5 linked regions of the Coturnix japonica genome follow. The protein of the gene in region 5 interacts with the protein of the main gene of each other region in a pairwise test. Links are inferred from orthologs where the notes say so. Each region holds a gene or a part of one and is shown on either strand. Other genes may lie near its edges. The genes, in order: HPCAL1, BRAP, DTNB, RPP30 and HMG20A.

Region 1 (5,584 bases), on a different chromosome or scaffold from region 5:
GCTAACTGCTCTGACAGCTAAGCATGGCAGGGCCAGCAGCAGCAAGCTCTCTCTCTCTTCACACAACAGAAGAGCTGCCAAGAAGAGAGAATCCTGCTCACAGTGCCCTTTAGAGAAGCCTAGAAGAAAATCCTGCTATCTCAGCACAGCAAAAAGCATCTATTCTGTGCAAGGCACATTCACAGAGGTGAATTAGAAAAACAGAAGGCGTGGCCCCTAGTAGGCTTTTTTCTTGCCTCCCACCACAGCCACCCTCGCCTATGTAAAATGATGTTGCAGGAGCCACGTACCAGTTCCCAAGCATCAGAAAGATCTGTTTTCCAAGCCCATGCCCAAGCTACACCATCTATCACCTGCTGAAAGGAGACTGTGGCGAGGTGGGGGCCAGCCTCTTCACCCAGGTAACAGTGATAGGATGAGAGGCAATGGGCTCGTGTTGTGCCAGAGGTGGTTCAGGTTGGATATTAGGAAATATTTCTTCTCAGAAGGAGCGGTGAGGCAGCAGCACAGGCTGCACAGGGAGGCTGTGGGGTCACTGTCAGTGGAGGTGTTCAAGGAACAAGAAAACGTGGCACTGATGGATGTGGTCAGTGGGCAGAGTGGGGATAGCCAGGAGCAAGGTTCATTATTCCTTCAAAACACACGTTTGGTATTTGCATACCAGCACACACGTGTGCACACTCGCATCCCAATGCTCGTACTCTGCATGGTTGGAGAACTGGAAACAAACACCTCTGCCACTCTGACTAGCACGCTGGTTAATTCCTTACGATAAACACATTGTCTGAAACAGAAATTCAATCTAATTGCAAAGCCAGCTGCTTCAGCTTAGCCAACCCTCCTGGCACAAGCATCAGGATCTCGGTATGCCTCATTTCTAGCAAGCATCTCTGAGGCCAAAGCAGCCTCTTGGGACTCAGCCTCCTGCCCTTGAGGTCTCCAGCTGTCCCTACCAGCCAAACCTTCCAACCCAGCTGGAGTTTTGAAGGTTTACCATCAGCCAGACACCTTTCTGATGAGGTTAAGATCACAGCCACTGAAATCCTAGCAGTGATTGTAGATGTCATCAACAAAACTGGCAGGTCTCAAAGGAGGATGCATTAGCTGTACGTAACTATAGCTGTGCCCAGCTTTTGGTTCTGCTTTTTTGCCAGACAGATACCAAGTAGATTGCATTGCTCAATACAGGTAGTTCAGTCATCAGGAAAGACATTTGAGAGCGCAAGAGAAGAGAAAAGCTGGTTGGGTTGGACAGGTTATTCACCTGAACCCCCTAGTTACAAGCAGCATCTCTTACTGCCAGTGGCACATGTTGTGCGATGCAGCCCAGGAGACGTGCAGTCTTTCTCACATTACGAGCTGGATGCAGCCTCCAGGCTCCTGCCTTCTAATTGTAGCACAGACAGCGCAAGGTAATGTATCGTTCATTGCGCAGCCCATCCTATGGGTCTCCCAGCCATTGGCACTGGATTTCCACAAGAAACCGATCCCACATACAACCACTATGGAAAGCACAGGAGGAACAAGGGAAAGAGCTCATTTCAGAAAAGAAATGGTCAGTTTTTGTTCCACTCGCTGGAAAACGTATAGCATTTGTTACTGAAGCTGTCCTAGGAGTCAGGTTTGAAGGAAGGAGCAGCAGCTCTGCAAGCGAGAGATCCCCTTCCCACGAGCATCAGTGCATCTCACACACACACAGAGCACAGTCTCATTCCTCACAGTCTCGTATCACCAAAAGCAAGAAAAATCCCTACACTATAGAGAATTCCAACTCAGACTGCCCACTTCGTCTACCAGCATTCCCATCCCTCTCAAATCAAGGTAATCAATACATCAAAAACTATTTGCACGGCTTCAAAAATACAACAAATGATGCTGCACGAATCTTTTTGAATCGCAACCATTCCGAATCACAGATCATGTCGGATTTCTTTGGGTTTTGTTTTTATGGTTTTTTTTTTCTTCTGCAGAGCCACAGTCCCTAAGCTGACTTGCTCAGCCCAAACCAGCTGCCTGTGCCCGTCCCTTATGCCCAATGCCAGCCCTGCATCCAGCTGTAACATAGAAAGCCTCTGCAGCTGGCACAGCTCTCCCCACCCAGCACTGCTCCCCAAGAAGATGAAGCAGCGCCAACAAAAAGCGCTTTTTTCACCGGGATAGCTGACAGCACACGAGTTCTGCTGCCAGCATTGCGACATCCATTCTAAAGAGGCGAGCGGTTCTTGTTTTTCCCTCCCCTACACAGTTTCCTCCACTTTAAGCCAGACATAACCATCACACTGAAGGCAAGAAGAAGGCAGGTGTGGCAGAGAAGCAGCGCTGCCGGCCGGCATCTCCCCATCTCGCGTAGGCAGAGATGAGCACAAAGTGCCTTTCCCTAATGACAGCCGAGGCTCGCAGCTGCCGTGCGATCCGCTCGCGTGCGGGGAAGGGCCCCGGGGCTCAGCACCGGCGGCGATGCGGTCCCCGTGCAGGCACACGCAGCATCCCCGGCACCACCCAGGGCGGCTGCTGCCCGAACGGCCGCCGGGCTGTGCCGAGAGGAGCCGGGAGCGTTTGAACCCACAGCCACAACAAACGGCTCCCATTGAGAAAACGTGTCGGGGACGGAATTATTGCCTCCTCCGTTTGTTTTCCCCGCAAAGAAAACTCCGTCTCTCTGCCACATTTATATTTGTGAACGGGACTACGGTACAGCCTGCAGCTCCAGCGCTCGCCTAGCATTATTCCTGCGGAAATAAAGCCGCCGTTTTCTCATACGCACACAAACTACACAGCCGCCTTCTCCCAAACTAAGCCCAAACTTCCCCGCCCGCTGCGGCCGCCGCTCCCCCCCGTTCCCGGTGCGGGGCACCGAGCGGACATCGGGCCGCTGAACGGCCCCGGGGGAGGGGCGACCGAAGCGGAGCCAGCGTTCAGCCAGGGCCGGTTCGAGAGACGGCAATAGGAAGTAAGATTTCGGGGAGCCGACTCCCCGAACGCCACTCGTGCGGAGCGAACTTCGCCGGCTCCAAGATCCCCCTTAACGCACGCGGAACGCACGGATCCCCGCGTCCGTTCTTCCCGGCACCGCGCACCTCCACCCCGTAGCATCCCCGGCGCTGCCCCCCGCCGCCCCCCGAGCCGCCCGCATCCCGCCGCCCCTCACCCGGCTGCGGAGCGGTCCCGCGGCGGCCTCCCGGCAGCTACAACTCCGCGGCGGAGCCCGGGCGAGCCGCACGCCTGCGGAGCGGCGGCGAGAGGAGAGGAAAAGAGGAAATGAGCGGGAGGCGCATTGGAGGGAGGGGGAGGAAAGAGCCGCCGCCGAGGGAGCGAGCGGGAAAGCGAGGCACGGAGCGCAACTTCCCCGCGGGGCAGCGGCGGCGCCGGGGGGCGGAGCGGAGCCGGATCCCGCAGCACTGCGCAGCGCCGCGCCCCGACGGGGCCGCCCAACAGCCCGCAGCCACTTGGTATCGCCCGGCCGCCGCGGGGCAGGAAGTGCGGGGCGGCGGGGAAAAGTTGATCTCTTTGGTTTTTTGCTTTTTTAATTCCCTCTTCTTTTTTTAAAAAATTATTTTTAATATATTTTATCTTTTTTTTTTCTTCCTTTTTTTTTTCTCCTTTTTATTTTTTTTTATTTTTATTTTTTTTTCTTCTAACCCCAGTGCAAACAAGGAAGCTCTCAGCTGCAGGCCCTACAACGAGTTCTGCCACCGCAGCCAGCACGTACCCACCGCCCCTCCCCTCCCCATCCGTGCCCGTGCAGGTGGATCCCTACGGGTGCGCTGCCTCTGGCCGGGGACAGCCGCCCGCACAGCGCACCCTGCCACAAAATGGAGGGGATTGAGGGCTCAGTGCTAAGCTGCTTCTCGAGGGAGGTCATGGGAAGCCTTGCTAAGAGCTACGGCCTGCAGAGCGCACGGGGGATGAATCCTTCCTTTAGGATTTCTGTTTTTCCCTTAGCTCCTGCCCGGCGCGCTTTCAAGTCAGGAACGTATAGAGAATTGAACGCCGTTCCCGTTGTGCCTTATCGGCAGCTTTCACTCTGCCTTCCTTCATAGGAGTCCAGGCGAGCGCACGAGATAAGAACCGAGCAGAGCTGAAATCAGGGCCACACCAGGAACAAAAGATCTGGAGAGATTTCAGCAACAAACCTTGGGAGGCACAAAAAGCCTCCGAAATGCAGGTTTTCAGAGCTTATCTCCGTACTGTGAGGGCAGAAAACTGAATTAAGAAACAAAAATAGAAGGAAAAAAAAGCCACATTTCACCTCTAAGGCAAAGCTGGAATACGTTGTAACTATTGATGCAAAGCTGGAATACGTTGTAACTACTGATGCAAAGCTGAAAGTGTTGCTCTGCAGTAACCCATTTCTCCAGCCCCTTTCAGAGCAGCTCGAACCATTTTGCCGACTTAAAAAATGACCTATATGTTTATACACATAAAGGTCGGCCCAAGGCAAAAAACAAGCTGGGAAGCTGGCGAACCTGTGCTGTTAAAACTAGAAGCGACTCGAAACAGGAACACAGAATGGAAAACTAGATGCAAGCACCGTCACTGCCAACTTCACACGCCTGCAGCCCGCTCCTCCTCGCGGGGGGTGGTTACACATGAGTAATCCCCTCTGTTTCCCTGCACACCCTATGTGAGCAATGCCAGGTGCTGGGGCTGTGGCTCATTTGGGGCAGGCAGTTGCACAGGCAGTGACAGCCCTTTGCCCCACTGTCAGCTGCTCCTCACACACATGGCCCTCCAGATCCTTCCCCATCCTCACAGTCTTCATTTGGATGCCTAACTACTTTGAGAAGTGCCCCATCCAGCCTGGCCTTGGGTGTCTCCAGGGATGGGACATCCCCCACCCCTCTGGGCAACCTGTGCCAGTGCCTCACCACCCTCACTGTACAAAACTTCCTCTATTAAATCCAATGTAAATCTCTCTTTAAGTTTAAAACCATTTCCCCTTGTTTATTAAGCCAGTCTAGTAACCCTGTGCTCACCTAATGTGGGTCTTTACCGACCATGGTGCCATAGCTGTACTGGCATCCTTTCGGTTGATTTTCTTTCTGCTTTTCATTCTGTTTCTATAATCAGAAGACAGAAACAATGAGGGATTGAATTAGATTCATCTGGATCATTCCAGCTCTGCTGAATCTGAAATTACCCTGAGAAATTCCTTCTGCTGTCCGGTGCTTAATCACCAAGGGATTTGGTGGAGATGAAAGTCTAGATGTGTGGCACACTGCTATTCTTTAAATATCTGCCATAATAACATGAGCTCTGGTGGCAGCATTAAGGCTATTGCTAATCTCCAGTTATTACCCGCCTTGCTGGGTTTTGGTGTGATTAATTCTGGGGAGGTGTTAAAGCAATATTTACCCTTTTTTGAGCAGTTCATCAGCCAGACCTGGAGCCCTTTGTGTTCCTGGGGATTTCAATTCCTCTTACCTCTACCCAAAAACTATCAGAGGGAACTGTTGCCAGGGATTTAAAACTCACAATGCTCCTTCCCTCTGGATCTCCTGATAGCTGTGATGGGACCCAGAGCTCCCTCCCTGAAGGCAGCTGACTGCTCCAGCCATTTTCAGGCCAGATGGGAGCTCCAAGA
Region 2 (5,706 bases), on a different chromosome or scaffold from region 5:
CACTGGCTATGAAAGCTGTGGTTACACAGAGTGGTAAGAATCCCGTTCACAGACTCATCCATCCTCTCCAGGCACACGGTGCACTTTGGGAGCTCTGTCAGATCCATCACAGGCAAACTGGCCCCCTTCAAAAGAACAAGCAGAGACAAATTGCTCAGCACCCTCCAATGACCATAAATCAAACACCTGCACAGAAAGTCAAACTTCTCATTACCACCAGCACTAAGGTACAGAAACACTACACAGTCATCCTGCAAGTCTATGCAGTGGTTACAAATTCACCAAGATAAAAAGCAAACCACAGCCTTCAACTGAGCACAAACCCATTTCAGCACAGGGTGAGGTGGATGCTGCAGCTGCCACAGCCCCATGATGTTTTCTGGATCACTGCAACAATGAGATTGAAGCCCACAAAGATCACCAAACAAACCTTTCCATGTAGAAACAACACCGGAACAGAAAATGGGTTTCAGATTGATACAGTTTAACACTTCCTGCAGCGTTCTGCTCAGAAATAAACTGTTAGACCTGGCTGAAATCCAGCAGAAGGGAAACCAAAATAAACACTTACATCTTCCGATTTGAAGACTTCAGCCCTCTCCACGTACACGAGCTGGCAAACATCCTCCTCTATGGAGTTGAACTGCCGACCATTGCACGCCATGTAAAAGCTGTCTGCATCAGCCTGCGCATAAAACAAGGGAAGGCTGTTGAAATAAAAAGCCCGCAGCTGACACAGGCAGGGAGGAGGAGGAGAAATCTGCTGTATCCCTGCTGCTTCCCTCCACCAGGTCCCACAATAACAGAGGAGAAGTTTCAGCTCCTGCCAGCAGGCATCGCACCTTGGCACAGAGCTTGGTGCTACCACTTGAAGATGAGAAGCAAAGCTGGCAGCAGGGATGGTTACTCTGATATCTGAGTATAACTGACTTCCCTTTAGCACCCATTCTGCTTCTTGTCAGCAACTCCAGCGTTATTTGCAAAGCAAACTTGGTTTCTCTGCCAAAACTCCAGAGGGTCACATTACAGGACACCGATACTTGTGTCAATAGGATAAGACCCATTTAATGTGGGAAAGGATCCACTGCACAATTCAGATGTGCTGAACTGTCTGTGGGAGTCACCAGCAAAGAGGTAAAACCAAAATAAAATCTATCAGATGTGTCACCCATTTGCACCCAGCGACCTCCTCCCTTTCATTAGAGGATCACACCGAGCTCAGCACCACGTTCCTCTGCTCCTAATCACTCGAGCCAGGTACACAAAGGCACACGAGATTTGCTTCTGCTGTACACAGAGGCAGCCATTAGGGGTCACTGAGGAACAGGCCTTCAGGAAGTTTCTGAAGTAACTGCGATTTCAGGGTGAACTGACTACAGGTTTTGATGCGAGGCACTGGGTATTTACCCATTACATCCTATACAGCAGTATGCAAAACACACATCTGCAACTGCTGCAGATAGCACAAACTGCATTCAAATACTGCATCTACACCACAGCCATGGAAAACATCTTATGCAGCACCCACAGCTGGGGAAAGAGCTGACCAAAACTCCTCTCAGATCCCCAGAAAGGAAGATCCAGCAGAGAGTCCACCTAGGTCATAGCAGGGGATACCTGTAAGCAGCACCCTGTGTTATCCAGTGACCCATTCACCCCCAGGCTCCCTGTTTTGGGGCAGGCTGGACTGGCAGTAACTCCTCAGAGAAGTTTACTAACATATAAAGTGCCACTGGCTGCATTCTTTCTGCTCAGCAAAGCACAACACAACTCTGCCTGCAAACACGCTCTGAGGTAGTAGAGGTGGTTTGTCTCCACGTGCTTAATAGTTTTAAATATCCTACCAACAAGAAATAAGGGGCACAGAACACGACACGTGCTTGTCTGCAGGACAAGCCTCAGTCAGGAGCCCCAGGAAAGTGCTGGGCAACAAGAAAGGGCTGCCCCCCACACAGATTGCAGTGTCCTCTATGTCAAAGGGACTTCCAGCTCTTACCTGGGAGCTAAACTTGATCAGCACCATGTACTGGTTGGGAGTGGAGTCTCGGATGATCTTCATGTGCTCAATGACTTCATAGAAGGAAGCCACAAACTTCATCAGGTCGTGACTGGTCATGGTGGCGGGGACCGTGAGGATGCACAGCATGGCACTGCGCCTCACGTCTTCTTTTAAGGAGGTCATCTTGCTGTAAGACAGCAGGTACATCGCATCACATAGAGGACAAAGCTCGGTACATCACACTCCCAACTGCACTGTTAGGAACCCACACTGATGTCCTCACACTCCTTGGCATTCACACTGCCTGTAAGTGCTGCCCACAGCCATCAGACCCAAACCCAGGCTCCATGTTTTCCCCATGGCTGGTGGCACCGTGGGTGTGACCCACCCTTCCTGTTTGTCCCTGCAGGAGCCGCAGCCCCAGGGTGACACCTCACCCTGCTGGGTGACCCGTTCCCATCACAGCTACAATTAGTCAGACATTCTTACTTTGTTTTGTACAGGTGCATAATGCCATGAACTATTTCAACTGATGGATTCCCGCTGAAGAAGGAAATCTGGTCAGGGAGCTGTTTGGAAGGCGAGTCTGGAGCAGCCTCTCGCTCTTTGTTCTGCTCATCCTGTTTGGTTCTGTCCTCAGCCGCAGCCTCGCAGGATTTTCTCCCTTCCACGGCAGCTTTTGCTTCACCTTTCCAAACAAAAGCTTTGATTATTGACCACACATGAGAAACATCTACAGTTCTCAAAGCACAGAACAGCACTGAGCTCAGAGCTCTGTAGTGCCACAGATCCAATATGTGCTGCTATCAACGCTGCAACCAGGGCAGTGGATGGAAGGGTTCCCTCGTGCTCCCGTTAAAACGGGCCGCACTCACCGGTGCCGGTTGCCGCCCGCGGCCGGATGGTCTCGATGATGATGTCGGTCATCTCCCTGCGGCCCAGGTGCTGGTGCAGGATGGCCGCCCTCTCACCGGGTCCCTTCCCCTCCAAACAGGCCGGGACCGTCCCGCTGCTCTCGGCGTCCATCTCCGGAGCTGCGGGGGAGGAGAGACGGCGTTAAGGCGGGGACAGCGGCAGCACAACGGCAGCACAGCGCCGGCCCCGGGGGCAGCGACTCACCGGCCGCGCTGTAGGAGAAGCCGGCGGGCAGCGGGGACGGCTCGGCCAGCTCCATGCGGATCACGACCAGCGACACGCTCATGGGCCCGGACCGCGGGACCCGCCGCGCTGCGACACGGCCCGACCCGCAGCCAGCGGCGCTTCCGCCTCCAGCACCTCTGAACCCTCACCCCGACCGGGTCACGGCGCCGACGTGATGACGTCACGGAACGGCGGAACGAGCCGGAAGGAGCCGAGGGAGGGGGTCGGAGTGGGCTCGGCTGCTCCTCGCGAGACTGGGCTGTGAGTTCTCGCGAGACTTGCGCCGCCTGACAAGGCTCGTTGGGGCCCGTAGGGCTCGTGTGTGCAGAGGGGGGTGGGGGGACGTTGTGTCACTGCGGGACGTCAGCACAGCTGGGGCCCTGTCTGCTATAGCGCGGCTATGGGCCCAGGAGCAGGCCCTGCTCCCTCCAGCTGCAATGCTCCCTAAGCATTCCCTGCTCCCCTATCTCACCATTCAGGGCCTCTCCTTCACCCCAGAGGGGTCTCAGTGCAGTGTGTGGCCATGCAGCACTCGCCATAAGCCACACGCTGTGCTGTGTGTGTTTCATGCTGTTTTCCCTTCAGTCCCACCATGTACCTGAGCAGTGCTGCCCGTGCCCCGTTCCTGCGCTGCTCCAGGATCCTGCTGTCCGCGGGGCTGGTACGGACACAGTCGGGCTGGAGCCCCTACAGGGCTGTGATCTTCAATGTGAGCGGAGTGCTGCTGCCAGCCCCACAGCATACAGCCGCAGGTGTGTATGGCCGCCCCTCCTGTGCTCCAGCTTCCCATATACAAAATGCCTTTCAGGTCTCCATAAGACACCTCCATTGGGTGGCACCTCCACACAGATGCGGTGATGCTGCTGCCCAGCATTCCCAATTACACCGTCAGAAGTGATAGAACTGACAGCTGTGTTGACATTTAACATCTGCAGGTCAGGGCCCAACCACAGCTGGGGTACAACTGCCCTGCAGGACTCCCAACTTGCTGCTTTCACACCAAAGGACATCACACAAAAAGTAAAGACGAGGCCCATCACACCAGCTCTCACGAGCACAGGTCTTACACAGCAGAGTTCAGAGCTGTAGAGGAATTTCAGTCTTGTTTCCCAGTTCTGATGATACCATGTGTGCTCTCTCCTGGCTTTCTTCCTTTCATATAGACTGGGAGGCCCAGAGTTGTATTCCAGCCGGCACCATCCAACAAGCTCTGCTCTCTGGAGGGGCAAACAGTCCCTCTGTCAAGTACACAAGAGGAGAGCTGACAACTATTGAATTTCTGCAGGAGTTGGGACAGCAGTGCTTTGAGATTGTAAGCCACTTCCCCATCCCTCTCTTTGTGCTTCTTGACTGCAGGGAAATGGGATCCTGCAGTGTGGGAAGCTTTTGGGTTTACCATCAAGGAAGCGTTGCCATCTCACCAGGGCTGGCAGCTCATTGCTGTTATCATTCTGCTGCCAAGGCAGGATAGTGAGCAGAATATGCCTTCACTTTCACCAGCTTCTGTATTTCATAACTTTCTGATACCACGGAGCACAAATCAGAGAGCAGCTGAAAGGCATTTGCTGCTATTTGGTGCACAGATGTGCTCAGTGAGTGGAGATGGTGGTTTCAGAGGTGTCTTCTTCAGACCAGTGGAAGCCCTTCCACCATAGCTTTTGTTTGCCAGCTCCAGGAACATCATGTCAGAATCCTCTTTTTAATGCAGTCTTTTTGAATCAGCTGAGTCTAAAATGCAGATTCATTCCCTGCCTGTTAAATGGTTCTCCCATGCTTATCTCCAGCCTGCCTTGATTCCATTGCAGGTGCATTTCTCTTTCCCAAAATCAGCCTTTAGCTTCGCTGCTTCTGTAGAATCAGTGATCTGCAAACACCCATTTCTTTGGTCTGTGCAATTTAGGTGGGAGATTCACTGTCCCTGCTGCCAAGGGAAGTAGGAGAGCAAGATAAGATGATCAGACAGCCTACCTACCCAGCCACTATTTTCTTCCCTACTTATAAACTACATATGGCTAATTACCATTCTTGGGGGGGGGGGGGGGGTTCTGGTTTCTCAGGCAAACATCTGCATTCCAGTGAACTCTTTCCTCACCAACTTAATCAGAAATGAGATGACAAAGCAGCTCCCCATAATGGCAGAAGCAATACAGTGTATCCGTGCAGAAGGTCTTAAGACAGCTCTTCTAAGCAACAGCTTTCAGCTGCCGAATGGAGAGAGCTTTCTGCCCCTGGACCGAAACCATTTTGACGTGGTAAGCCTGGATAGATTGTAAAATATATTTCTGAATCTAAGTCTATAGAACACAGCAACTGAAACTCTTTACTTAGATACCAAAGGAAGGGCCACCCACATCAGTCTCCAAATTTGGGCGCACAGTTTTGGCCAATGCCTCTTCTGCTGTAAATATCGCTTCAGTGTAGTCGATAGGCGCAGTGGTCAGAAATCTGTTTCCGTATAACTTAGATGGTGATGGTTGTAACAATCAGAAAGATCAATGCAACAGAAAGGTGATACAAAAGGTATAATGACAAAGGGACAAACACAATAGAAAGGCATTCTAAGGAAA
Region 3 (5,567 bases), on a different chromosome or scaffold from region 5:
TCATCTCTGCTTTAACAGACTGCTTTCAGTTTAATCATCATCATCTGGTTTGTTTTGTTCTCTGCCAAATTGCAACCAACCCAAAACTTGTGAGTGAAAGAAACGCTGCAGAATCAATGTCTAAATATAGAGAAGAAGCACACCCATGGCTCAAGCAAAGCAATTATCTTGTCACACCAGAAAGGAACAAAAAGGAGGCTGTTCCTCGTTCCTGATCTCAGCTTCTGCTTTATCTCAGTTGCTGTTAAGTGGGGGTATGCATGAGATGGAAGAGCAGCTCTGGACACACAGCCGGAGGTACCTCTATCTACACATATAGATTAAAGGCTGCAGGGATCTTCTTTGGTACTCAGCTGCTCGTCTGAAAAACACCTACCTTCAGAATTTAAAGTTCTTCAGTTACAACGTCAAGCAAAATGGGACAGCAAATGTGTTACTCCGGTGTCTTGGTGAGGCCACTCTCAACCTAACCTTTTGCTCATGCTTCTTTTGGGCTGATCTCATTACAGCCAAGTGAGTTTAGACTCAGAGCCTTCCGACTTGTGAACACCGGGCACTTGAGGTTGTGAGAGCTCAAGGGCGTGAATGTGTAACTGCGGAAGAGCAGTTGTTGTAATGGCGAAGGATAGAGCAAAAACATGCTATGCCAGAAGGGATGAAAATGGCAAAATACCAGAGGTGGAAATATCTCCTTCTCTGGAGATATTCAAGACCTGCCTGGACACCTACCTGTGCAACCTGGTGTAGGGAACTTGCTTTGGCAGGGGGGTTGGACTCGATGATCTCTGGAGGTCCCTTCCAACCCCTACAATTCTGTGTGAAAAGCAGTCAGTCATACGAAGGAGATGTTTTTGGTGATCTGAGAGATTCCTTCCAGTCTGACATTTCTAATCACTCCATGAACCACGTCACATTTGGAGATGCCGTATGAAGGAGGGTCCGGCTCACCCGCTGTCACAACGCAGTGAGCTCAGACAAGCGATGGTTGTGTAAGCTTCATGCTCTGGCTCTTCAATGTGCCATCAAGAGCTCCCCTTGGAGCAGCCAATTCTGCACAAATCTCTCCTGTTGTAAGACCAGACCTGAGGTGGTGCTGTCCTCCTGCACTTCACCTTTCCGACAGCCAGCGGCTCCAATCTGCGCCATATTTTGCACCATTCATCACTGAGGAGAGGTTTGTCCTTGGAATGACTTTGCTGCCTCAGTGCTGGTGAGACCTCACAGCTGGGGAGCTCGGGCTGCTCCCTTTCCTTGGGTCTCTGTGGTTTCTTTGTGGTTCTTTTAGTATTCTTGCATCACTATGGGAAAAGAAAGAAAAAGAACACAGGCACATGAAAACCCATACACAGCCTGTTGGAAAATATCTCCTTTTACTTCAGATTAATTGAAAAATACACTGAGTTATTCCAAGTCCTCCACTTCTCCCTACAACACCTAACCAACCCCAAGGCTTTATTTTTCTGCTTTTATTTCTTCTTCCCTGCTGCTAAATTTGGGTTTGCCGTCTCCCTTCACACTTACCGAGACCCTTTGCTGACCTCCCCCTGAAGCTGGGCCAAACCACAGCTCTTTAAATGGCAGCTGTGCTGAAGCTGAGTCCCAGGAGGTGTTTTGCTCTTGTAATTCCATTCAGATGCGGATGGCTCCAATGCAGTGGGGGCACAGGGCAGGCAGCAGCGCTGGATGAGAAGAGGTAGAATTGTTTTACACAGCATCCCAGTTGGGTAAAAGGAAAACATAACAGTGGGCTGAATTAAAGTGTTACTGAGAGAGAACTCAAAGAGGGGAGGTTGAGGTTGGATGTCAGGGGGAAGTTATTTACTGTGAGAGCGATGAGGTGCTGGAACAGCTGCTCAATGAGGCTGTGGATGCTCCGTCCATCCTTGAGGGTGTTCATGGCCAGGTTGGATGTGGCCCTGAGCAGCCTGGGCTGGTATTAGATGTGGAGGGGGTTGAAGCTTCACTACCGCCATCTCGACGTCCCCTCATCGCCCTGAGGAGAGGCGCTGACCGCCCACTGCGCCTGCGCAGGAGACGGGAGCGCGCGAAGCCCCGCCGGCTGTTGATTGGCTGGAGAGCACGAGCGCTCCCGAGGAGGGGCGGGGCGAGCTCACGCACGTCCGCCGCCGGAGAAGCGTCCGCTCGCCGATTGGCTGTGGAGGTGAGGAGGCGGGGCGAGGCACGAGGGCTCGCTCAGCCATTGGCTCTCGGAGGCAGAGGGCGGGGTGGGATTGGCCGGAGGGTGCGCGCCCCCGCGGAGACGCTTTGCGATTGGCTGCGCGCCGTGAGGCGGCCGGGGACCGTTGGAGTGGGGACGGTGAGGCGGAGCGGCGGTGGATGCGGCCCGGGCGGAGCGGGGCGGGGCGGCCAACACGGTTATGGTGTGTGGGGGCTGCGGGCATCAATGGGACCGGTCGGATTGTCTATGTATTGGGCTGCGCTAATAGCGGCGGGCTCCGAGAGCCGAGAAACGGGGAGGGCGGCGTGGGGCTGAGGAAGGAGACCCGTCCCAAGCTCGGTGCTGGGAGTGCTGGGCCCTCCAGGCCGTGACATGGGCAGCCCGTCCGTGTACCGACGTGGAGCCTCCCGCTAAGGGTGCAGCATGAAGTTGGGTCTTAGCTTGAGCTGAACGGGGCCGATAACCGGCTGTTTGTCATAGTGGCTCTTTCTTTTTTTTTCTTTTCTCGTGTGGTTGGTTGTTTTTCAGGTCGTCCTTCGATGTTGGCAGAAGGAGTTGAGGTGGCTGCTGCCCTGAGAGGCTCCGTGTGCCATCCAGGTAATGTGGCATCCAGGTAACTGTGGCTGGGCTGATGTGCACGGAGCTAAACAGGCTGTGTCTGTGGGTTCATGGTCAACAGAGCATCCTTAGGGTTGGAAGGGAACCTTAAAGACCACCTGTCCCACTGAGCAGGGACACACAGCTCCATCAGTGCTCACAGCCCATCCAGCCTGACCTTGGCTGTGTGCAGGGATATCCAGCACCTCTCTAGGCAACCTGATGGACCTGGAGAGCCATAGTGCTATATATGTATATGTCATAGTGGTGAGGCTGGTCTCTTTTCAGTAGTGCGTGGGGATAGGACTAGGGGTAATGGGATGAAAGTACAACATAGGAAGTTCCTTTATACAGTGAGGGTGACGGAGCACTGGAACAGGCTGCACAGGGAGGTGGTGGAGTCTCCTTCTCTGGAGATATTTAAGACTCGCCTGGACGCCTACCTGTGTGACATGGTGTAGGGAGCTGCTTTGGCAGGGGGGTTGGACTCGATGATCTCTAGAGGTCCCTTCCAACCCCTACAATTCTGTGATTCTGTGCAGCGCTCCTCTTATTCATAAGTGATTGTTAAGCCCTAGATAGGCTGGGGAGCCCTTTGCCAATGGTTTGTGTGCTGCTTGAGAACGCTCTGATAACACTCGAGCCACTGCCTTGAGTTTGGTCATCAGCTGTGCAGTGCTGCTCTTTAAAAACGCTTTGTACTTTCAGTTTTCTTATTCACGTTCCTGAAACTGAGTGTGCAGTGCGTCAGCTTCCTTGTTCTGCTGTTGGCTGCTGTGGCTTTCCAGGCAAAAAAAAAAAAAAAGAAGTTAAAATTCTCATTTCCACGTTGGGAAATGTGAGAAACGTTGGCCTGAAGAATTACTTGGGTTGGTTTTTATTTGTCCTCCTGCCTTTCATTGGTAAGTGTGTGTGATCCTGTACTGCCAGCTGATATTACAAAGTGCACTCGAAGGAATAGAGGTAACCCAGAATTGTCTGTTTGAGGCTGTTGCTTTCTGTGTTTCCAAAGGATATTTTAGATTAGTGGAGAGTTTGGGTAAAAGGGTGTTGTTGCTGACAAGCAACTGGAGAAGATGGAAAGAATTAATTGCTGTAGGGCAGTTCCAGCTTAGCCCTCTCGTTCGTCACATTATTTGTCAGTACCAGCATAAATAACAGTTGTGAGTGGTATAGAAAGCAGCCTGCTTTTCTTAGCCTTATCACTGCTGCTCTTTAACTTTGTGCTTTTGGGGTGGTGAGATTTGGTGATAAGGACTTAAATTTGTAACATTTATGTTGAGTTATGTTTCGGGTTTTTCTCTCAGTGCCAAAGTGGAGAAATCATGATTGTAAGGTGCACATTTGGTTTAGTGTTTAGATAGGCTCCTGCTGATAACTTGTGCCTAAGCTTAGCTTCGTGGCTCTCTTGCAGTCATGGAATGAATCATAGAATGGCCTGGGTTGAAAAGGACCACAGTGATCATCCAGTTCCCCCTGCTGTGTGCAGGGTCACCAACCATCAGACCAGGCTGCCCAGAGCCACATCCAGCCTGGCCTTGAATGCCTGCAGGGAAGGAAAGGTGCTGTATCATATCTGTGTGCTTTTTACAAAACCTTCTTTAGAAGCAGCTCCTGATCCACTGTGTTTAAAAGAAAATTAACAAACACAAGGGAAAGCCCCCAAAATGTAAAAGCAACACCAAAAAAACGCTAACTTGTGACTTTGCAATGTAATTCAATACAGGCTTGGTCTTGATCTGGAGTTTCTTGATGATGCTCTTTTAAACTGCCATTCATTATGGCTTGTGAAGTTCTTAAGCAAACATTGGAGCTTTGTTTGGGATCCGTAGAACCGGGAGGTGTATGCGGTTCCTCATGGATGCTCTGTTGTCAGGTTGGTGTAGATATTGAGGTAACATATCAAAGCATTCTTAATACTTCTGTGCACCATTACTTATGCTTTAATTAATTCCATTTAGGGTTGGGAACTGAGTCTGAAATTGTAGTTGAACTAGAAGAATGATCAGAATTGTGTAAAATATGCTTTGAAAGAAGGCGTTGGTGGTCTGTTAGTGTGAGTGGCTCTTCTTTTTCTGTCCTTGGGTTTCCATTGAATGGTTTGGGTTGGAAGGGACATTAAACCTGTTAAATGTATGCCCATGAAATAACTACTAGAGCTCTTCCTTTTTCCTGGTAAGAGGTGTAGTGAAGTAAAGAATCATAGAATTAATTACAGAATGGCCTGGGTTGAAAAGGACCACAATGATCATCTGATTTCAGCCCCCCTGTTATGTGCAGGGTCACCAACCAGCAGCCCAGGCTGCCCAGAGCCACATCCAGCCTGGCCTTGAATGCCTGCAGGGATGGGGCATCCACAGCCTCCTTGGGCAACCTGTACCCAACTTTTAATGGATTTCTTTTAATGGAGTACTTTTGGTGGAGTACTTTTAATCGTTTACATGCATTCATGTCATAAGCAGTGCCTGATAGTGGTTATCAGATCTTCAGGGTATCAGAGCTTTTTTTGGAGGATGTCTCACGAGTGGAATTACAACATAAAACCAAATGGAGTATTTGAAAAACAACCCCAAAACAAGAGGAAAAAAGCAGCACGTCCCTTTGATAGCTCAGAAGCTGATTTATTTAGTCCCTAAATTAAAGTAATTAGGAAGCAGTGAGGCAACAGCTGAAGTTGCAGATACGGAACCAGGATGACAGCATTTCAGGCTATGATTTATAACATGGCAGGAGATGCCTGTGGTGGTGCTTGGGGAAGAACAGATGGTGCGATTTGGGATGGTGGCTGTGG
Region 4 (5,583 bases), on a different chromosome or scaffold from region 5:
TTCAAATATCTTAGAGTGGAGTGGCTTGGCGACTACACCAGCCGATTGCCTCAGGACTCTGGCATGCATCTGGAATAAATCACAATAATTTTATGCTGTTAACAGAGCACCCCCCTCCCCCCCCAAAAAAAAAAAAAATTATGGAGAGAAGTAGAAAGCCTTTTAGAAGACTTTTGACTCTTGCACACCCTCAGGAGTTCAGAGTCTGGCAAGGGAAGAAAAAAAAAAATCAGTTGGAAATGAGCTTCATTAAGTTGTCACTGTTACAATAAATACTTCAGTTCTTCTCCTTTCAAGTTCACCTCCTTTTACAGCCTCTTCACAAGTTTTCAAAAAGGACAGGAAATAATTTAAAAAAAAAATAAATCAGAAAAATATAGTTTTAATGTTCCAAAGATAGGTATTGAGCAGCACCAGAAAGTAGCTTTAACCTAACTGAAAAACAATGTCAGCTTCTCGACAACCTCTCTTTGAAAGTAAATTCCGGCATTCCTCCAAAGAGACTCACATTTGCAGTTGGTGTCCCAGTGTGTCATGGTTTTGTAATTTTTGCTATCGGTATTCCACATCATAACATCATGTGGAACACAGAGAAGAATTACATGTCCCAGAGTACCTCACGGTCAGAGAGGAAAACACATCACAGAAGTGACACTGGCTCTCTCTCACACTGCCTGGCAGTAAGTGTGGGTGTGCTTCCAAGTTGTGGCACCTTCAATTTTAAAGTAGGCTTCTTGGTCTTCAGAAACCTCTCTCTCTTATTTCACTTGATTTATTAGCCCCAATTTCAATTAGATCATACTATATTGTGTTATGTTGCATTCCGATATCATAATTAGTAAAATAAGTTCTCCTCCTTAGATTGTTGCTGCTGCTCTGTTTATCTCCTTGAGCCCAACTCCCATCTCCCTACCCCTTTCCCTTTTTTCTTTCCATTCTTGGGGCTGGAGGGAGAGCCCACAGGCCTACTGCCCCCCATCACAGACATAGATTGATCTAGATAACTCCGTGACACAGTGCATTCTTCAAATTGCACATCAGCTTGCTGTCTGCCAAGGGCAATACAGACAGATCACCTCTACCAACTCTTCCAATTCACTCTTAATGATACGACTCAGGAGCTTCCTGAGATGGTCAGATGTGCCACTTTTTCTCCCCCCATTTTGCAATGAAAGCATTTTGACAAGAAGTTGAGCTGAGCATTTGAAAGCAAGTCAGTCAGACCACTTGCAGACGTTTAGGACCAACTGATCACATCAAGGCCCTTTACCCTTCTAGGATTTCTCCCAATCTTTTAGTCTGCCTGCTGCTGACCAGAGAACCTACATTGTTTAATTAGCCCCATGACATGGCTATATAGAATGGAAAACAAAACAAAGCATGCACTCAAAGCACTCCAAGACACTGATGGTTAGTGCCAGCTCTATGACAACTCACAGATAGTACTTACATGGAACAATTTCTCCGTCTTTGGAAATACAGCTATGATGTCATACAATCTTATATTTGCAGATGTAGATCTCTACAAAAGGAGGAAATAATTACTACCTTGACTTCTGGCAGGTGACAAGCATACACACAATGATTATAACCAAAATAATAATGAGAAAATTTCCTCACCATTTTCAAGCACCAAAACAAAGACGATAATCTAATTAAATAGTAGGTCTCTACTGTGAGCAATTCTCTGAGGTCATTTTGAGGCTTGTCCCATCCACTCACATACCTTTTGTCTCAAGCACACAGCTCCACAAACACACACTGGTCTCCCTCCTGGTATTCTAGTGTACACATGGAAGTCCAGAATTCAAATAAAAGAATAAAGGAACAGAACTGCTACCCCATACTAATAAGCGATCAGCACAATCACGTTCTGTTTCACAGACACTTGCGTGAGGGGTCATGATGCTTCAGATTCTAAAGATCTGGTCTGAGAAATCAGTACTGAGTATCCTATGAAATCCATTAAATCCAATACACAACTCCCAAAGTGTCATTCTTTCGTTGAGAAAATTAAATTAAAACAAACAAACAAACAAGCAGATACACTGAATGTACTTACCAAGAGATTACAGTGGGAAGGATCAGAAACAACAAGTGTCAGCCGGGTTAAGACTTTAAGTCTTTTAGATGTCCCCTATGATGGAAAAATAATATAAGATTTTAAAAGCTGACAAACTTTGTGGCAACCTTCACCCTGCCTACTATAAAAAGAAAGTTGTGCCTTGCACCAATTCTTGCCTATAATAATTTTCTGGAAGTCTGTAGTTATGCTTCCCTAATATAAAACATATATATTGTAACTGCCCTTCAGAAAGAAGGGCTCACTGTGTTTCTCTGAGGAGTGGATAAACTGAAAGGAAAAATTGCAGCTCAGTGTAACAACACATAGATGGAACGTAATAAACACACCTGCACAATAGGCAAAGATGGAAACAGCTCTGATGGAGACACCGGCTTGGCTATTTCCTTAAAAGAAAACAAAACAAAGTTATCCAAAATACAACAGGGATGTTTAGAATGTACACAGAAGTTGTGTTCCAACTCCAAAAATAAGCTTAACATACTAACAAAATATTTCCTAAGGACAATTCACAGACCATAGTAAAAATTAACTCCAGGGCAGTAATACAGGCTTATAAAATCAGAGTTCTGTTATAAATATAAATACAAATGCCTTCATTTAGGTGAGTGCGTAAAAACAAAGGATAGAGGAGTGGCACAGAGATTTACGAGAGCAAACACATCACCAACAAAGAAGCTGAACTGAAATTACCTGTTTCTTTTCTTTAAAATCGATGACGTGATTAAGAGCAACTGCAGAATATCCCACTAAAAAAGAAAACACATTGTGAGCCTGCTTTGATCAGCAAGTAATGGAAACAGACACAAGGAGAAAACTGTCACATGCTCATTATTTAAATATCTCAAAATCAATAACGATGTGCACATTTACCTTTCACAGTGAATTTTGCTCAATGTTAACTCAAAGATGTGTCTTAAGAGTACAATTTTTTCTTTTAGCACAAGCCAGCCTTTACAACACATCCTCACTGACTGACAGTAACAAGGACAAGGGACTGTGCACGGCCAGTGCTGGGGTACGCACAGAGATGCACGGTTACCTAATGGGTACAGCAGGGCAGGCTGAGGTGTGGCTGTGAGCCTGGGGTAGTGGGGTAAGCCACAGGCTGCCAGGTCCCGGCTCTGCATCGACACGAAGGCTGCGCCTTGCAGCAGCGGACTGGAAGATGCATTATGAGGGGAGATGTGACCACGATTGAAGGGTGATACAAACAGAAAGACTGCCGTGGTGGACAGGACTAGAGAAAGCCATAAAGCCTGTGCTGAAGATCAGTAACCCTGGAACAAGTTCTCTGCAGAGGTTGGAGAGTAACCGGAGATAATAACAGCGCTGTTCAGGCACAGCACAGACCCCGTGCCCTCGCTGGGCAGGGCAGGACCGGCGCATGGAGCTTCCGCCCCGTCCAGCCCCGCTTCTCCATCCTTCACGCCGCTGCTGCAGCCCTCAGCCAGCGCCGCCTTCCAGCACAGCCACCCCATCCTCAACAACACATCCACCCGCTCCCAGCCCCGACTCACGGTTCGCCGCAGCCTCCAGCACGCTCTGCACGGCCTTCCTATCCGCGCCCTGCGGGACGTTCAGATCGGCGAAGCCGGCCATGCTGCGCAGCACGGGGCGGAACGAAGGCTGTGAGCGCAGCCGGCACCGCCCCCGGCGGCCCGGAGCAACCTGGGGCTGGTAGTCCTGCTACGAGGAGCGGGATGGGCTCTGGACCAGCAGGCGGAGCTCTGGGTGATGGAGCGTGCGAGCTTTTATGCGCTCCTGAACGTGTCCGTGGGGGGCTGTGCTGCGAGCGGAGCAGTCGGGAGCTCGGGGTGTGTGCGCTGCCCAGCAGGGGGAGATGCGCTTCTGCTCCTCTTAGCGGCCGGATCGCCTCCCACCGAGCGCAGCTACTGTATGGCCCGAGGGGGGGTGGAACCGTTCCTAGTTAAGGCCATCGTTTTCCTGCGTTAACTAAAAAATGTGAAATAAAATCCTAGGTTGATTAGTCCCAGCTTCTCTAGAGATATTCCCTAAAATGCAAAAGAGATGAACAATTCCAGGAGACCACAAATCAAACATGCTTTGACTCTGTAGCACTGTTGAAAAACCCACCCATTTTATTGCTGCTAATCAGCACATATGTGAAATACAGGTGGTAATGACCACTTTTGTTGCTGTTTGGGACAGTTACAGCAGCTGCTAAAACAAGCAAGGCTGTGATTTCTTCACATCATCAAGGTGGTATTGGGAGGCCTCACAAGCCCTCTGCTTCCACTTCCTTGAGCCTGGAGGTTCAGTGGGTTATTTGGAATGCTAAACCCTTAACCAGGCAGAATTGCTCCAGCAATGCCCACAGCTCCCAGGCACGTCCCTGCCCACAGCACTGCTCCTTGGCACACTGAGGCCGAAGAGTTTATAAGCTCCCTTTAAACACAGAAAGGCTGCAACGAGATCTCCCTGGTGCCTTCCCCAGATTGAACAAACCTATCTCCAGGGAAGTACTCCAGCTCTCTGAGCACCTTCGTGGCCATCCTTGTGACCCATCACAACAGCTCCATATCACTCCTGTGCTGGGAGCCCCAGGCTTGGACACTGTGCTCCAGGTGGGGGCTCACAAGGACAGTACAGAGTGAAACAGTCACCTCCCTCTTCATGCTGCCACCCCTCTGTTGATGCAGCCCAGAATACAGTTGCTCTATGGGCTGCAAGTGCACACTGCTGGCTCATATCCAACTTTTTGTCCATCAAGTCTCCAAGTCTTCCTCAGCAGGGCTGCTCTCAGTGAGTTTTTCTCCCAGTCTGAATGTCTGGGGTTGCCCCAGCTCAAATACAACACCTTGAATTTGGCTGTGCTGAACCTCACTAGGTTTTTGTGGGTCCATTTTTCAAGCCTATCCAGGTCTCCCTGGAAGATGTTCCTTCCTCCTACGTTTCCTATGTTTCAGCAAATTCTGCTTTGGCCTATCTGTGCCCTTAACATGTTTCCTATTGGAATAGCCAGTGCTGCTTCTCTGCCAAATATCTGAACACACAGCCCAAATCAAATGGTCTTCTTAAGGCTTTTCTGTGAAGTGTGTGGACATGGGAGAACTCAAAGCATTATTTCAAGTGTTTTTTTTGTTTTCTTTGTTTGTTTGGTTTTTTTGACAGTGTATGATGGAACTTGATTTAATTTGTCTGAATAAATGTGAGAAGAAATCCATAAATATGTATCAATTATTTCTGAACATCTCTTTTGGACTAATGTTCAGAGACATTAAACAAGATTAAGCAGCTTTTTTTTTTTTTTAGGCAACAGACAAGCAAAACAAACCTTTTCTCGAGGCACTTAAAATGGAGAGTACTTAAACAGATCATCCTTCAGAACCCTATTTCTGTGATGGCCCTCCCAGCATCACATATCATCAATTACTTACGCAGACCAGTGTGCAACCTTATTTCCCCCATCAACCACTTGGATGTTGACATTTTTGTTTAGGCCAGACCCAGTGATCTACTTAAAACATAGCTGTGGT
Region 5 (5,801 bases):
ACATCAATGAAGAGAAAAGGGTTCTGCATACGTAACTCTCAGAAGTCTATAATAACATATTGTGATAAAAGCTGAAATTTTGTCTTTCTGAATGCATGGAAAATGCAAAAAATTCCCAATCTCTTCTGTCTTCCCACTCATCAATAAGATGTAACCCCTTTGTGTGCACTGTTTGCATATGAATATACACAATAATCTTCCCAATAACAGCAGTATAGGAACAACCCTCAGGAAAATGCTGCAGAGTTTCTTGTAAGCAGCTGTTTCCTACATGCTTTGGATACATGTCTTCTCAGTAACCCTCCTGAGGAATGGCTTTAGGACTGAAAGCAAGTTGTTCTTAATTGGCAATGAAATCACACAAGTAACTTACCTTAAAAGAAATGTTACCTTATGGTTACTGAGACCCGTTGTAAGGATTGACTGTAACACAGTGACCTTGTACAGCTACCCATTGTAGCAGTCAGCTGCATTTTGTTCTGCTTTTGTATGCCAGACCCCATAAGCTAAGAACGTTTATCAATGAACTCTGATCAGGCTGTGATTTGATAAACTTACAGTTTTTCTAACCCTGCAACTCTTTCCTTTGGGAGAGCAGGAAAGAACTGAAGCTGGGTATCTTCTACCATCTCAGCTACATAGCTGTAAAGACTCAGAGAGCTCAAACACCAGAGCCTATAAAAATAAGGAGTGCATATGAAACCTCCCATTTCTACCAATGGTAAACACTCGTATGAATTTACATGAGCCACCCCCAGACACCAACAGTTCTTGCTAGTTGGACTCTCCTTGTTAGCAGCCTGTTATTGAGTGCTTTGAGATCACCTGCCCAAGTGAAGAGAAACCAGGCCTAGAAGGACCAAACAGCAGTTTTCCACTGCCATAGGAGAGACTAGCCCAAACCTATTGAACTACCAGCTACTTCAACCACAGCATCTTCAGATGGGCAGAGCTCTGGTCATTAGACAATGTCTGTGTATCAGCATGCTAAAGAAACAATAGCTTTGTGTTGATGTTTTTAGTTGACACAAGGTGAAATGGTTCAGCAAAGCATGAAGTAAGCACAGCAGCTGGCAGGGAAGGAAGGATACAAGTAGCACTGCCAATACTGACCTACATTTCTAACTCCGTGGCCTGAGATTCAGCTTCTATCCCCCTACAACTCAAGCGATGTCAAAAATGAAGAACACTGGAAACGATTCCAGTAACTGAGGGCCCTAAAATAGCCATAAGTGGAAGGAAATCTGAATACCAGAAAAAGAATTAGGATTATCTCATAAGCTGACTTGACGTTTTCAGTTTTTTTTCTTTCTGATGTCAAGCTAAACATTTATTCTGCTAATGAAAGATGAGATTCTTTCCCACGAGTCTGGAAATAGAGAGCTCGAAATCCCCCGGATTCTGATTATTTTTCTAACAAGAGCTTGTTAGAAAACAATCTATGACATTGCTTCTTCATATCTCATATGAATTGCATAATACTTACTTTTCTACCTTAATTAAACTGAGCATAAGAATAGAGACAAATTCATTCCCATGTAGTGAAAGAGAGGATAAAGGCAAATACTGGTTGTCTCAGCTCTATTTCAGCCAGACAATACCCACCCTACAGAAGAACTTAAGAGCACTTAAAAATAGTCTCTAAACCTTGAGACTCCAAAACACTCATGCATCCAATGCAGTGGTAGCTTCACATGGAATATCTTCCTAGATTAATTCCTGAATTTCCACCCTTTTGGCAGCAGCAGATGTCCTTGCCAACACCCTGGATATGTGAAAACAAATACAAGGAGATGTGTGTTCTTAAAGAACAATAGGCTGTGGGGAAGTAGAAAAGAACCACTGCACCAAGGAAAAAGGTTTGTAGTAGTATTTAAAAGCACCACTAAAACATATTTAATACACAAACTTCCTCCTACCTTGGTGCACCGTTCACCCCATGCTGGGAACGCTTCCCCACCCACCTCCATAGCAGAAATGCAATGTTAGCAAACTCCAGAGTTAGAAGCGTGAAAGAAGATTCACAGTTTACTGTTTCCAATACTTGGCTTGATGCTGTTTTTCTGTTGTATATTCCCATGCTATTACCAGAACCTGTTGTGTCACAGCTCTTTCTCTCCTCTGCTCCCCCAGCTATGGAGACTGACACTTGACTTTCCCAATCGTGACGCCAGACACCACGTCTCCTGAGCACTACTGTGGGATGCTCTTCATTTCACACAATCAAATCCAGCTTTGGATCAACAAATAACAATGGCCCCCCATGGCTTTCAAACTGCAACCAAGTAAACTCCAAACTAAATAATCCACAAAAACACCAGCTAATTCCATGCGAGTTATCCATAGAGGAACCACAAAACAGAGCTAACTCTATTGACCACCATTCATTTAACACCGAGAACCCATCTCATTAAAGCAGCTAAGACTCATTGGCTCTGGCTCCTTCAGAACAATACAGAGCCCAAACCAGGCACATCAACACCCATAAGTCCTAACAAATACTGCAGATGACTTATTTTGAAAGGTGATTATTAATACATTATCACAAGTTTCTTTTGGCCACAAACAATCCCTTGGATACCACGGAATAACTAAAGATATGAACTTGAAGACACCAATGGAACGAGAGCAGGCTTCACCCATGACAGCACTGAACTGCCTACAATTCATCTGCATTCAACACCAGAGGAATAAAAACCAGAACGAGACAGAATTATCAGACAGCTTCAGCTGCTTTAAGAATTAAAGGAAGAAAAAGATATGCCTCGTATGCCTCAGTGCTACAAAAACCAGCACAGTTCCACACATGCTTCAGGTGGGAGGGAGTAAAGATCCTCCAGCCACAGCCTGGGGAGGGCAGGATGAGGAGCAACAGTGCAGCAACCTGTACCAGCTTACAGCGGGACGGGAGGAGTGACTCTGCCAGGTGAGTATAGAGCAGTAACTCAGCTCACCCTCACTGCTTCCACTCAGCAGACCGGGAGCTCTGGGCAGCTCAGCACACGTCAGCTCTCTGTGCAGCCCTCGCCATCAGACACAGCCGTGGCCACCGAGGGAACGTGTCCTGCAAGAACAGAAGATGGAAGGCGTTTAGAAACCCTGCAAAGCACAGGAGTTTGTGTAAGTCACAGTCTGACACATGTAGAGCTGAAGGCCGCACTGTAGCTACAGCATTCCTTTGGAAACGGGGCTCACCCTCACCCACAGAACAGGCACCTGTCAGCTACGGACCTCAACACATGCAGGTAGAATAGAAAGACTAGATTTATACTGGGAACAGTGGAGTTAAGTCACACACTGTAGTTTCTCTATTTTAACAGAACTGGAGGGCAGCAGGCCGAGCACCCCGCTCCATAAGGGACTACTGAGGGATGCAATAACGTAACGGGTAATGAGAACGATGGAGCCGCGGGGAACCGCCGTGTGATCACCAACAACAGACGCGATGAGCACGAAGACACGCGCCGAGCGCTCAGCCCCACGCGAGCCGCAGCCGTCGGCAGGCCCGAAGGCGCGTGCAGGCCGTGCCGGCCGGTCCCGTCACGCCGCCCCCGGCTCCACACAGCGCCCCGGGCCGCCCCGTGCGGTGAGCGGGCAGAGCGGGCCCGTCCCGCTGCACTGACCTGCGGGGCTCGGCCCGGCACTGAGCGTCCCCTCGGCCCCGCCGCCGCCGCGTCCCTCACAGAGCCGCATCACCGCGCCTCCACCGGCGCGGATCCCTCCGCCCCTCACCACAGCTCTACCCGGAGAGGCCCCAAAGGGAACCCGGGCTGGAAGCGCAACAGCCGACCCCAGCAGCGCTTCCTGCCCCGTCCCCTTCCCTTTCCACCGCCTCAGAGCAGGAGGCCAAACTACACCCCGGGACTACTTTTTCCGCGCGGGCGGAAGGACACCATTACCTTTGGCATTCTGCTTTAAAGCCGGGAGCCGCACCGCGCGGTGCACGCCGGGATGCGTAGTCTTCCCTCTCGACGATCCCGGCGCGCGCCCTCGGCCTGGCCCCGCCCCCTCTCCCCTCCCCAACCAATGGGCTGCCGGGGTGGGCGGGGTCGCCCCGCCCCTCAGCGCGCGCGGGGCGTGTCCGCGCGGCGCCCGGACTCGGTGCTTGTTGCGGGCGCGGCGCGCGCTGCCCGGAGCGGGACCCGGCGCGGCACCGCCCGCACGAACACGGAGCTGCGCGCGGCCGGGAGGCGCCGCGGGGACGGAGTCACCGTGAGGTGCGCGGGGCCGGGCCGCCCCTCGGCCGGGGGAAGCCAACGGGTCGGGTTTGCTCGGCGGGGCCCCGAGAGGGGGACGCGTGGGGGGGGGTGAGGAGGGAGGTGCGGGAGAGCGGCGCCGGCTGGGGCGGGGGGCGGCGGGGCGGGGTGGTGAGGTGAGGTGCGGGGCGCTCAGCTCAGCTCAGCTCAGCTCCGCTCCGCGATCGGGGCGAAGTTGTGTCCGGGCGGCGGCGGTCGGTGCCTTTTGTTCCGGGCTGCGCTGCCTCCATCCCGCCTCCATCCCTGGCTCCTCTGCCCCGCACCGGGACGCCCCGCCGGCTCGGCCCATGCGGCCCCGGTGTGAGATGTGCGGAACAACAGGTCGGATCGTGCCTCCCCTGCCTCGTTCCCGGGTTAGCGCTCCCGGCTCTCTCCTTTCCTTTTCCTTTTTCCTGTTGTGTCCCTTTATCCTGCGCTCAGAACAGAAGGGCAGTTTCCCCACTCGCTGCTTTCTTCCTCCTACTGACGTCTGGCACTAACCCGCTTTGGGGCTGGGTTCACCCCAGCGGCCGTTTCCCTTTTACATCGTGTTCCTGTCGGACCTGCCTCTCCCCAGGCCTGGGATCAGCTGCTGGGATCACAGTGTCCCCCCCTGCACTGCAGCCGGGGTCGTGGCCCAACGTGTGGTGTGGAGGTGTGAGCTGCCGTGCTGCCGTCATAAGCATGTGCGGTGTGGAAAGAGAATGCTTGGCCAGGGAAACAAGACTGTTCTCATGCTGCTATTGCTGAGATAGATCCAGGTGTTTGTAACCTGCTCGCGGTAGAACAGCGGCAATCAGTAAGTCACAGGCTGGTTTATTAGTTAAAGTGAAGTTCAAAGAGGTAATGTCAAGTTAACTACAAGCCACGTGTGGCATCTCATGGCTGACGGCAGCAGCCAGGAGCCATCAGTGCGGCCACATTCACTCCACAGCCCCATCAGGTAACATGGGGGGGAGAGGTGTGTGTCCCCACAGGGCTGGCACAGCACTGGGATTTACGTTCTGCTGTTTCATATGGTAGCAGCACAACAATGTGTTGCTGTCATTTGAAGTTTAGAGTGGAAAAATACAGGCTGCGAAGCGGAACGAGGCTGTGGAAGTGGAGAAGGAGGCGAGAGCTTTGCTGTTTGTGGGGTGTCAGTGACAAGGATGGAGCTCTTGCTTTTACATGCTAGCAGTGCCAATCAGTTGTTCAGTACCTTGAGCTGCTGTTCCAGTAAGTTGTGGTTTAGCATGGTAGCCTGCTATGAGCAACCTGTGCTGAGAGTTGCCCCTGCCTACAGCAGGGGATGGAACTGGGTGATCTTAAAGGTGCCTTCCAAGCCAGACCATTCTGTGAGCAACAGGTATTGGGGTGGCAGATGATGATGCCAGGCACACAGATACTTAAGAGATGCACCCAGCAAACGTAGTGCTGTAACAGGGGTGCTTTTGCATCAGTTGCAGCAGCAATAAGAAGGTAAGCAAAGCCATCCTGCTGCCCTCACTGCTGGTTTCAGAGGTGCACATTGTAAGGCTCTTGGAATCACACAGTAAATAAACAGATAAAAGCGATATCAGGCCT

The links.
Region 1: the proteins of HMG20A (region 5) and HPCAL1 interact in binary tests that used the Homo sapiens proteins (3 or more experiments, as listed by UniProt). The two-hybrid records come from large-scale screens. The link is inferred for Coturnix japonica from reciprocal best matches to the Homo sapiens genes HMG20A and HPCAL1.
Region 2: the proteins of HMG20A (region 5) and BRAP interact in a two-hybrid assay, tested with the Homo sapiens proteins (2 studies listed by BioGRID and IntAct). The link is inferred for Coturnix japonica from reciprocal best matches to the Homo sapiens genes HMG20A and BRAP.
Region 3: the proteins of HMG20A (region 5) and DTNB interact in binary tests that used the Homo sapiens proteins (3 or more experiments, as listed by UniProt). The two-hybrid records come from large-scale screens. The link is inferred for Coturnix japonica from reciprocal best matches to the Homo sapiens genes HMG20A and DTNB.
Region 4: the proteins of HMG20A (region 5) and RPP30 interact in binary tests that used the Homo sapiens proteins (3 or more experiments, as listed by UniProt). The two-hybrid records come from large-scale screens. The link is inferred for Coturnix japonica from reciprocal best matches to the Homo sapiens genes HMG20A and RPP30.

What each region holds. Positions count from the first base shown.
Region 1 is NC_029518.1:88,236,501-88,242,084, reverse strand, and holds the start of HPCAL1 (hippocalcin-like protein 1), read right to left. Parts: upstream 3,381-5,584; 5' UTR 3,149-3,380; intron 1-3,148. UniProt on the Homo sapiens protein: May be involved in the calcium-dependent regulation of rhodopsin phosphorylation.
Region 2 is NC_029530.1:5,363,177-5,368,882, forward strand, and holds the start of BRAP (BRCA1-associated protein), read right to left. Parts: upstream 3,311-5,706; 5' UTR 3,201-3,310; coding exon 3,119-3,200; intron 3,034-3,118; coding exon 2,875-3,033; intron 2,688-2,874; coding exon 2,489-2,687; intron 2,187-2,488; coding exon 1,997-2,186; intron 686-1,996; coding exon 572-685; intron 126-571; coding exon 1-125. UniProt on the Homo sapiens protein: Negatively regulates MAP kinase activation by limiting the formation of Raf/MEK complexes probably by inactivation of the KSR1 scaffold protein.
Region 3 is NC_029518.1:95,642,240-95,647,806, reverse strand, and holds the start of DTNB (dystrobrevin beta), read left to right. Parts: upstream 1-2,258; 5' UTR 2,259-2,317; exon of another isoform or gene 2,318-2,381; intron 2,382-2,707; 5' UTR 2,708-2,776; intron 2,777-4,319; exon of another isoform or gene 4,320-4,338; intron 4,339-5,567.
Region 4 is NC_029521.1:17,047,299-17,052,881, reverse strand, and holds the start of RPP30 (ribonuclease P protein subunit p30), read right to left. Parts: upstream 3,972-5,583; 5' UTR 3,686-3,971; coding exon 3,604-3,685; intron 2,833-3,603; coding exon 2,777-2,832; intron 2,470-2,776; coding exon 2,413-2,469; intron 2,138-2,412; coding exon 2,063-2,137; intron 1,523-2,062; coding exon 1,451-1,522; intron 1-1,450. UniProt on the Homo sapiens protein: Component of ribonuclease P, a ribonucleoprotein complex that generates mature tRNA molecules by cleaving their 5'-ends. Also a component of the MRP ribonuclease complex, which cleaves pre-rRNA sequences.
Region 5 is NC_029525.1:2,278,537-2,284,337, forward strand, and holds the start of HMG20A (high mobility group protein 20A), read right to left. Parts: upstream 3,751-5,801; 5' UTR 3,624-3,750; intron 3,065-3,623; 5' UTR 2,955-3,064; intron 1-2,954. UniProt on the Homo sapiens protein: Plays a role in neuronal differentiation as chromatin-associated protein. Acts as inhibitor of HMG20B. Overcomes the repressive effects of the neuronal silencer REST and induces the activation of neuronal-specific genes.